Linked DNA regions of Tribolium castaneum. The protein of the gene in region 2 purifies or fractionates together with the protein of the main gene of each other region. This does not show direct contact. Links are inferred from orthologs where the notes say so. Each region holds a gene or a part of one and is shown on either strand. Other genes may lie near its edges. The genes, in order: V-type proton ATPase catalytic subunit A and ATP6AP2.

The links.
Region 1: the proteins of ATP6AP2 (region 2) and V-type proton ATPase catalytic subunit A purify together in Homo sapiens (co-immunoprecipitation; 3 studies listed by BioGRID and IntAct, with this or other methods). This does not show direct contact. The link is inferred for Tribolium castaneum from reciprocal best matches to the Homo sapiens genes ATP6AP2 and ATP6V1A.

The regions. Positions count from the first base shown.
Region 1 is NC_087402.1:9,102,365-9,105,741, forward strand, and holds the end of V-type proton ATPase catalytic subunit A, read left to right. Parts: intron 1-969; coding exon 970-1,121; intron 1,122-1,172; coding exon 1,173-2,310; 3' UTR 2,311-2,710; downstream 2,711-3,377. Other genes in the region: Sas10 (something about silencing protein 10), read right to left, coding at 2,723-2,815, 2,866-3,002, 3,049-3,377. UniProt on the Homo sapiens protein: Catalytic subunit of the V1 complex of vacuolar(H+)-ATPase (V-ATPase), a multisubunit enzyme composed of a peripheral complex (V1) that hydrolyzes ATP and a membrane integral complex (V0) that translocates protons.
Region 2 is NC_087398.1:10,555,013-10,559,364, reverse strand, and holds the start of ATP6AP2 (ATPase H(+)-transporting accessory protein 2), read right to left. Parts: upstream 3,054-4,352; 5' UTR 2,939-3,053; coding exon 2,896-2,938; intron 2,853-2,895; coding exon 2,488-2,852; intron 2,442-2,487; coding exon 2,307-2,441; intron 770-2,306; coding exon 485-769; intron 435-484; coding exon 255-434; 3' UTR 1-254. Other genes in the region: Hs2st (heparin sulfate O-sulfotransferase), read right to left, coding at 3,174-3,635, 3,686-4,113, 4,158-4,266. UniProt on the Homo sapiens protein: Multifunctional protein which functions as a renin, prorenin cellular receptor and is involved in the assembly of the lysosomal proton-transporting V-type ATPase (V-ATPase) and the acidification of the endo-lysosomal system.

The DNA.
Region 1 (3,377 bases), on a different chromosome or scaffold from region 2:
TTTTGGTGCTATTTTTTTAGTTTTTTAAATAAATTAAGTAGAAATGTCAACAATTCAGACGTTGTTTTTTCCAATTTTTCCATAACGGCAAAGTAGATTTTAATTAATTGTAATGAGTAGAAATAGAACGATTTTTTAAAATTCACATTTTTATGAGGAAATTGTTTAAATAAATAACTAATTACATTATAGTTATTTAAGCCAAAATTAAAAAAAAATTGAAAAAACAATAATAATAGAGGCGAACAGACATCTGAAACTTTGGACACGTCGACTTAAATATTTTTTTACTCTAAACCGATACAAAAATTGTTCAAAGGAAATGAGTCTTTCTAATAAGTAAAATGTGTTAAATTGTTCTTAGGTAAGTACTTTATAATAATATAATAATAATAAAAGAGCCAGTATCAAAATATGTGGAATTGACAAAAATAAATAAATCTAATCTAAAAACAAAACAACAAAAAAAACTTTTAAACGTTATCACGATAATTGTGATTGTAGTTAAAATTTAATTTGCCATGAACTCGAGGTTTGTCAATGCAAAACTAATGGCTACCTAATTCGAATTATTTTAATTCTGGATTATATCTTAATTTCTCGTTCTGTATACGACCAGAAATGTTTGAAACTTAATTGAAAAGGTCAAATAGAGAATCAAGCTAAGAATAAATTTCACACAAACCAGCCATGGTGAGATTAATTACCCAAGCAAGTTCTGTATCTTGACAATAAGAGCTAATCAAAACTTTTTTGATTATTTTCGTGTTTAGCTAGAGAAAATATTTCGGAAATAGCTATTTTTGAGTTGTGATATTATTTGTGGAACTTTGAACGTTCAAATGTTTTTTAATTTTAATTATAATTAAAATTTAATTTAATTTAATATTTAATTTTAATTATAAAAAGCCACTACTTTTAATTATTTTTCATTTGGGGAAAAAATTAAAAATTATCATTACGCTACAGGAAGTCGTCTTGGAGACGGAATTCGACGGCGAGAGGACCAAATACACCATGTTGCAAGTGTGGCCTGTGCGTCAGCCCCGTCCTGTCAGCGAGAAATTGCCAGCCAATCACCCCCTATTAACCGGTCAACGCGTACTCGACTCACTTTTCCCGTAAGCCCCCTTTCAAAAACTAGTCCCTTTTCTCTACCAATTTTTATTTAGGTGCGTCCAAGGGGGTACCACCGCCATTCCCGGAGCTTTCGGTTGCGGTAAGACCGTAATCTCGCAATCTCTCTCCAAATATTCCAACTCTGACGTTATCATTTACGTCGGTTGCGGGGAGCGTGGTAACGAAATGTCTGAAGTATTGCGGGACTTCCCCGAACTGACAGTCGAAATCGAAGGCCAAACAGAGTCTATCATGAAACGTACCGCTCTTGTCGCCAACACCTCTAACATGCCTGTAGCCGCCCGTGAGGCTTCAATTTACACCGGTATTACACTGTCTGAGTATTTCCGTGATATGGGTTACAACGTGTCGATGATGGCCGATTCCACCTCGCGTTGGGCCGAAGCTTTGAGAGAAATTTCCGGTCGTTTGGCTGAAATGCCCGCCGATTCTGGATACCCCGCGTATTTGGGGGCCCGTTTGGCTTCGTTTTACGAGCGTGCAGGGCGTGTTAAATGCTTGGGTAACCCTGATCGTGAAGGTTCCGTTTCTATTGTCGGGGCCGTATCGCCCCCTGGTGGTGATTTCTCTGATCCCGTCACCTCAGCTACCTTGGGTATCGTACAAGTGTTCTGGGGGTTGGATAAAAAACTAGCCCAACGTAAACATTTCCCTTCGATCAATTGGCTGATTTCCTACTCTAAATACACGCGCGCTTTGGACGATTTCTACGATAAAAACTTCCAAGAGTTTGTCGCGTTGCGTACTAAGGTCAAGGAGATCTTGCAAGAAGAAGAAGACTTGTCCGAAATCGTGCAACTGGTCGGTAAAGCCTCCCTAGCCGAGACCGATAAAATCACTCTTGAGATTGCCAAGTTGCTTAAGGAAGATTTCTTGCAACAGAATTCGTACTCGTCGTACGATAGGTTCTGTCCGTTCTACAAGACGGTGGGTATGTTGAAAAATATGATCGGTTTGTACGATATGTCGCGACATGCTGTTGAAAGCACCGCGCAGTCTGAAAATAAAATCACGTGGACCGTGATCAGGGATTCCATGAGCAATATTTTGTACCAGTTGAGCAGTATGAAGTTCAAGGACCCAGTTAAAGACGGCGAGGCGAAAATCAAAGCCGATTTTGACCAGTTGTACGAGGATATTCAACAAGCCTTCAGGAACTTGGAGGATTAAATTAGTTTTATTGTAGGCCGTATATTTAACCTCACTATAAAATTGCCGTCTTTCGATATTAATGTACAATATGTTTATAAATGAATTAGTTCATAGGTCTAAGTCCTATAGATTAGAGGTGAGGGTAAATTGCTAAATTTCGTCCCTTCATTCCAGTTACTTTTAAGGAATTTTTATTTTCGTGTTTCCGTGCAATTATCAGCTTTCCAGTATTATCGGGACCTTTTTTTCTTTACATTTTATTTTTTCGTTATTTACGCATATTTCGATGTTGTATATTTTATCATGTTATTCAAACGGCTACTTGTACAGTTATCTGTGTTAATATTAAGTGAACTAGCTAGAAAATAGCACAATAAATTGTTTTATTGTAAACAGAAATAAAAGCATTGTTGTTTCATATGCGTTTTTATTAAGTCTTAATTTTAATGCTCTTGGAAACACTTGCTTTAATCCCGGAAAGCTCCCCACCATATCTCGTCATTTCGGTTCGCGGCTCACGAACCTAAAAATAGCGCAATTAAATTTAAGAAAAAATACTAAAAGTTGACATACAGCTCCTCTCCTTCGTATTTTTGCTTTTCTAAACTTGTTCCTATGCTTCACTCTTGGATTTCTTTGTTCCTTCTTTCTGTGCGGCGTGAGACCCTTATTTTTGGCAATCTGGTAAGTTATAGCCCTCTTGCCAGGATCTACAACAAAACATGACTAAAAAATCGCAACAAACAAAAATCAAACCATTCTCGGGAACATTTGCCTCTTCGTCTTGCATTTGCTGTTCATTATCTGTTGCTTCTTTTTCGTCCACTTCTGGTTTAAATTGGACTTTTTTCCCTGCTGGTTTCTTGTCTTTCTTTTCCGTTTTGTTAACCAATGTGCTCAACACCTTTAATGTTTTTTTCGGAACTTCTTTTTCTTCTTCATTCAAGAGTAACTCAATTTGGGGCTTAATCACCTCTTCGAAAACTGGCGTCATTTGTGATAACAGTTGTCTGTATTGGTACAAACGTTTTATGATTGGGTGGTTTTGCACGTTAACTCTTGAGGCTTTCAACAGTAAATACATG
Region 2 (4,352 bases):
TATTTGGTAACCATGGTAAGACGGAAAGTTTCAGAAGGAGCTAAGAGATGGCGCTACAATAAAGTAAGCTGTTAGAAACACTTTTTTTGTTCAATGCGACCAGCCGTGTGAAGGGAAAGTCCCTTCTTTAATCAAGGAAGCTGTGATCACAGTATTACATAAGTTACACTAATTTACACATCTAGAATGGTATTTTACAGAAAATTTAACAGGAATATACACACAATAATACTATCCGAACTCAACGTTCCCACTTAATTATCCTTCTTGAGACGAGTGCTCGTCATCCTGTAAATAATGGAGTCCCGTCCAGGATCCATTTGAGCAATTGCAATGCAAATAGCAAGTAGAGTAAACGTCATTGCGACCCCAAACCACAGAATAATATTAAAAATAACTGGATAATCCTTGCTGTAAAACTTGGCAGGGTTCACCTATAAAACGATTAGTAAAAAAAAACAAAAATCACTATTACTTATTTTACTTTGGTCTCTTGTGTGTCCTTGGGTTCAGGTTTCTTTTCTTGCAAAATGTTTCTAGCACGTCTGGTGTGCACAGCATCGCTTGTTATGACACTGACCAAAACCTTGTCCTTGTAGACTTTGGTGAAAACAGAATTCAAGTGAAGGATTGCATCATTTAATAGCTGTTTGGCTTCTTTAACTTTGGTCGAATTCTCGCCGTACAAGTCGATCAAAGGGTGCAGACTTTCGATTTTGAACCAAAAGACATCGGGAGTGCCATCCAAGTGTAAGCCTGAGTTTTGAATCTAAAAAAAAGTATACAAAATACACTCAAAAAGAGAAAAAACTGTGTTTTTCCATGAAAAAAAAAATTTTTGCTTACAGGCTGGGATTCTAAAATTTATAAGTTATGAGTAAAGACACCCGATCTTTTTAAGAGCTTTTCTTGAAACTCGGAATAAATTTGTTTCGTTAAAAGTGTAAATATTTCGCACCTTTTTTATTTTACCGAAATTCCTAAATTGACTTGTATCCTAAATGTGATTTAAACATCTTAAAATTGTGTTCTAATTCAAAATAGGATATTTTTGCATTTTTTTTATTAGGATTTAGTCTAAAAACAATACATCTGATTTTTAAATTTCTTAAAAATTTTGTAGAATTGCATCAAAAATTATTAATTTTTTAGGCTTCTAGTCTTTCAATTTCATAGTTTCTTTTAGTATTTCAGTCATACAGTTTTTATTTTTCTAAGTATTTCAGAGTAATTTTTCCATATTTCATTTTCTTATAATTCCAGTTTTTCAATTTCTTACTATTGATTATTAAATTATTTTTTAAGGTTGTACTGTTTTTTACTTCTGAAGATTAAAGAGCCCTTGCACAGCATTGTTTTAGTCAAGTCACTTTAAAAAAAATGACTTACCTTCTCACTATAAATTTTAATAAACAGTATAACAAATTAGAAACATTAGGCTTGTTAAAACTATTGAACGCGTAAATATAATGTAAATTTTTGTAAAAAATATTCTAGAAGTTGTGGACAAATTATACAAAAAAATCTGGATATAGAAATCTACTGAAAATAAAAATATTTATTGAATGAAAAAATATTGATAATGCCTGATATTAGAACTAGTATTAGTATGAATTTTCTGAGTTCATTTTATAAGTATGTCAACCTAGAAAATGAACTGAAAAATTTTTACAGTAAAATAAAACAGCAAATTTACAATACTATTTAAGTCAACAATTAATTACTTTCTTTATAGCTGTATCTTTATGCAGTAAAGAATTATAAGTTTTTTTGCAAAACGTATTTTGTTTTGTTTGTTTTTATAATGGAATTTACTGCATGAAAATTTATGTTTTTTTTTTCTGCAAGAGGAATTAACAAAAAATGTAAACTAAATAAAGTTTTTAACATCCAAAAAATCCGGTCTAGTTATAAATTTAGTTGACCAGTATAAATTTAAAAATCTTAAATCTGTAAGCAAAAATATTTTCCTTTGATAGAAAAACATTATTTTTGTATATTTTTAATTTATTTTTTGCTCCTAAGTCTACTTATTCTAATCATTTTTCTCTTTTTCTCTGAGTTGCAGTGTCACTGCATTGTAAAACAATTATTTTGCGCTCTTTTTAACCTAATCTAACACTTTAACACCCCATTTAGGGGGTAATTAACTATATAGAATTGCTTTGTCACGCATTTTACGTGAGTACATAAAATTTCAATTCATTCGGACAACAGGAAATAATATCTGGTCAGAAATGAACTTTTTGCCACATATCCAATAATTTTACGTCAAATAATTGCCAACCAAAACAACTACAACTGACCTCGTCTGCAATGCTGTTCAAGACTGTAATTTCGTTCAAAAACGCTTGGTCTTCCTCCACGCTAGCTTTGAGATAGTTTAGGACTTTCTTCGACTTGTCGAGTTTAAGATTTCTGAAAACTTTATGCTTGTGGAGCTGCAAGTAACTAATTAGGGGGTTGTGGTCTAGGTCCGCCTTATACCTGATGCAAACTATCACCAGCGCTAATTCGCACCAAATGACCCTCAGTTTCGGGATACCTTTGCAAAACCCGCCTTTCCAAAGCTGAGAAAACATCAAATTCGTCAACGTTCGTTTTAAGCGGGAAATTGTGCCCTTTGCCGTTGCCAATGTCCGAAGTGCCGTCAACGCTGACGGTCACCACAGCCTTGGCCAAATTAAAGGGGTCCTCAATGTACAAACCATCCCAGTTCGAGTACTGCTCAGTCGAGAAACCCAAAGCACTCGAATACACCTCCTTCAAAATGCTCTCTTTGACGTGGTCGTGTCCCTTGAAGAGCAGACTTGGAGGGTGGTGAAGAATCGTCAGTTCACCATTTGCGGAAACTGTACGAATTTAGAAAAATTGATTGTTTGGACGATTTCTCACCTGAGGCGCCCAGAAATGCGACACAAATTAACGGAACGATCATTTTTCGGTCTAATTTTCAGAGTTTTGGAAATTTGAAGTCATATGACATTAAACTAACCACACCACCCAAATGTCATAATCATATGACAGTCTTGTGACAGGTGAAGCGGCACGTGCGCATGCGCGCAAGCGCCAAATTCAAACGCACGATTAAATAATCTCAATTTATTATAAATAAGTACATTAGACAGCGGTTTAAGTCGTGCACATAGAAAAATAATATCTCGCGGCGTGAGTTAGTTGATTTTGGGCCGTATCTTCTCGTACATGACGTTCTGTAGTTTGTCTTTAAGAGTGTGTTTTTTAATAAAGTGGAATTGGTCCAAGGCGAACTCGTAGAGCTCGTTTTCCATCTGCCACACTGTGCTCTCTTGGATTTTCTTGACGGTGGTCGGAGAAGGCGCGTCCTTCTGAACGGTCTGCCTCAAGTGCGACTTGTTGCTGGTGAGGTAGTGGTTGAACGCGCCTTTGAATATCCGTGGAAGGGTTTGCTCTAAAACGGCAACAAAGTCGTTGATCTCGTCCGTTACTCCCACGAGGAGGTAATTGTTGACTAAGTTCTTCTTTGCCTCGGTTAGGGCCCACTTATTGCCGGGCTTCCAGCAGTTGGCGGCGTGCCCGCACAAGAAGGGGATCTGGAGCCACATGTGGTTGGGGTCGCAGTCAGGGAGGTTTTTCTCAACGCATTCGTCGAAAGACTGTAAATTGGGCGTTTACTACGTTATGTGGCCGCCAAATGGGGGTTTACCATGGTGTTGCCGTGCTTGCGGCGCACCAGATAGGGCCGGTAGTTGTCCCCGTATCTGACAAAGTAGTAGTAGGAAATGAACCGCTCTAGGGGCTTTCGGAGAATGTTGATGAACAAGGGCTTAGGGCCCCCGAATTTCGTGAAGTCGATGAAGGCAAAGTGGCCGTGGTAGATCCCCGGTTTCATCGCCTTCCAGGTGGTGACGTTATGAACGAATTCGTGTTGATTGTTTAGCGATAAAACGTGATTATTGGCAGTTATGTTCACGTGTAAAACATGGAATTTATTCTTTTTACACAAGTCGTAAGCGACGCCTATGAAGCTTGTGGATCCAGTCTTTGGTACTCGATTGTATACAACTACTAAATCGTCGTTCTCTAACTCTTCTCGACTCTGTTGTTTACGGTCGTTTTGATTTGCATTGTTTTCTAGAAAAAATTGCAGCGAGGGGTGCGGGAATAGTGATACGTACCAAGGTGGAAGATTTTTTCTTGAAGTCGAACGATTTGAATTTGGTAAATTATTGCAATAAAGGTCATAACAGTTATTGTTAAAAGGTACCCTAACCTTACGCTATTCATCACCGGTGGGTATTTTGTTGACCTTTTTTATCGAAAAATAATATGCATGGTTTCGAGTATTTTATTCAGGAAACAAACAAATCCTA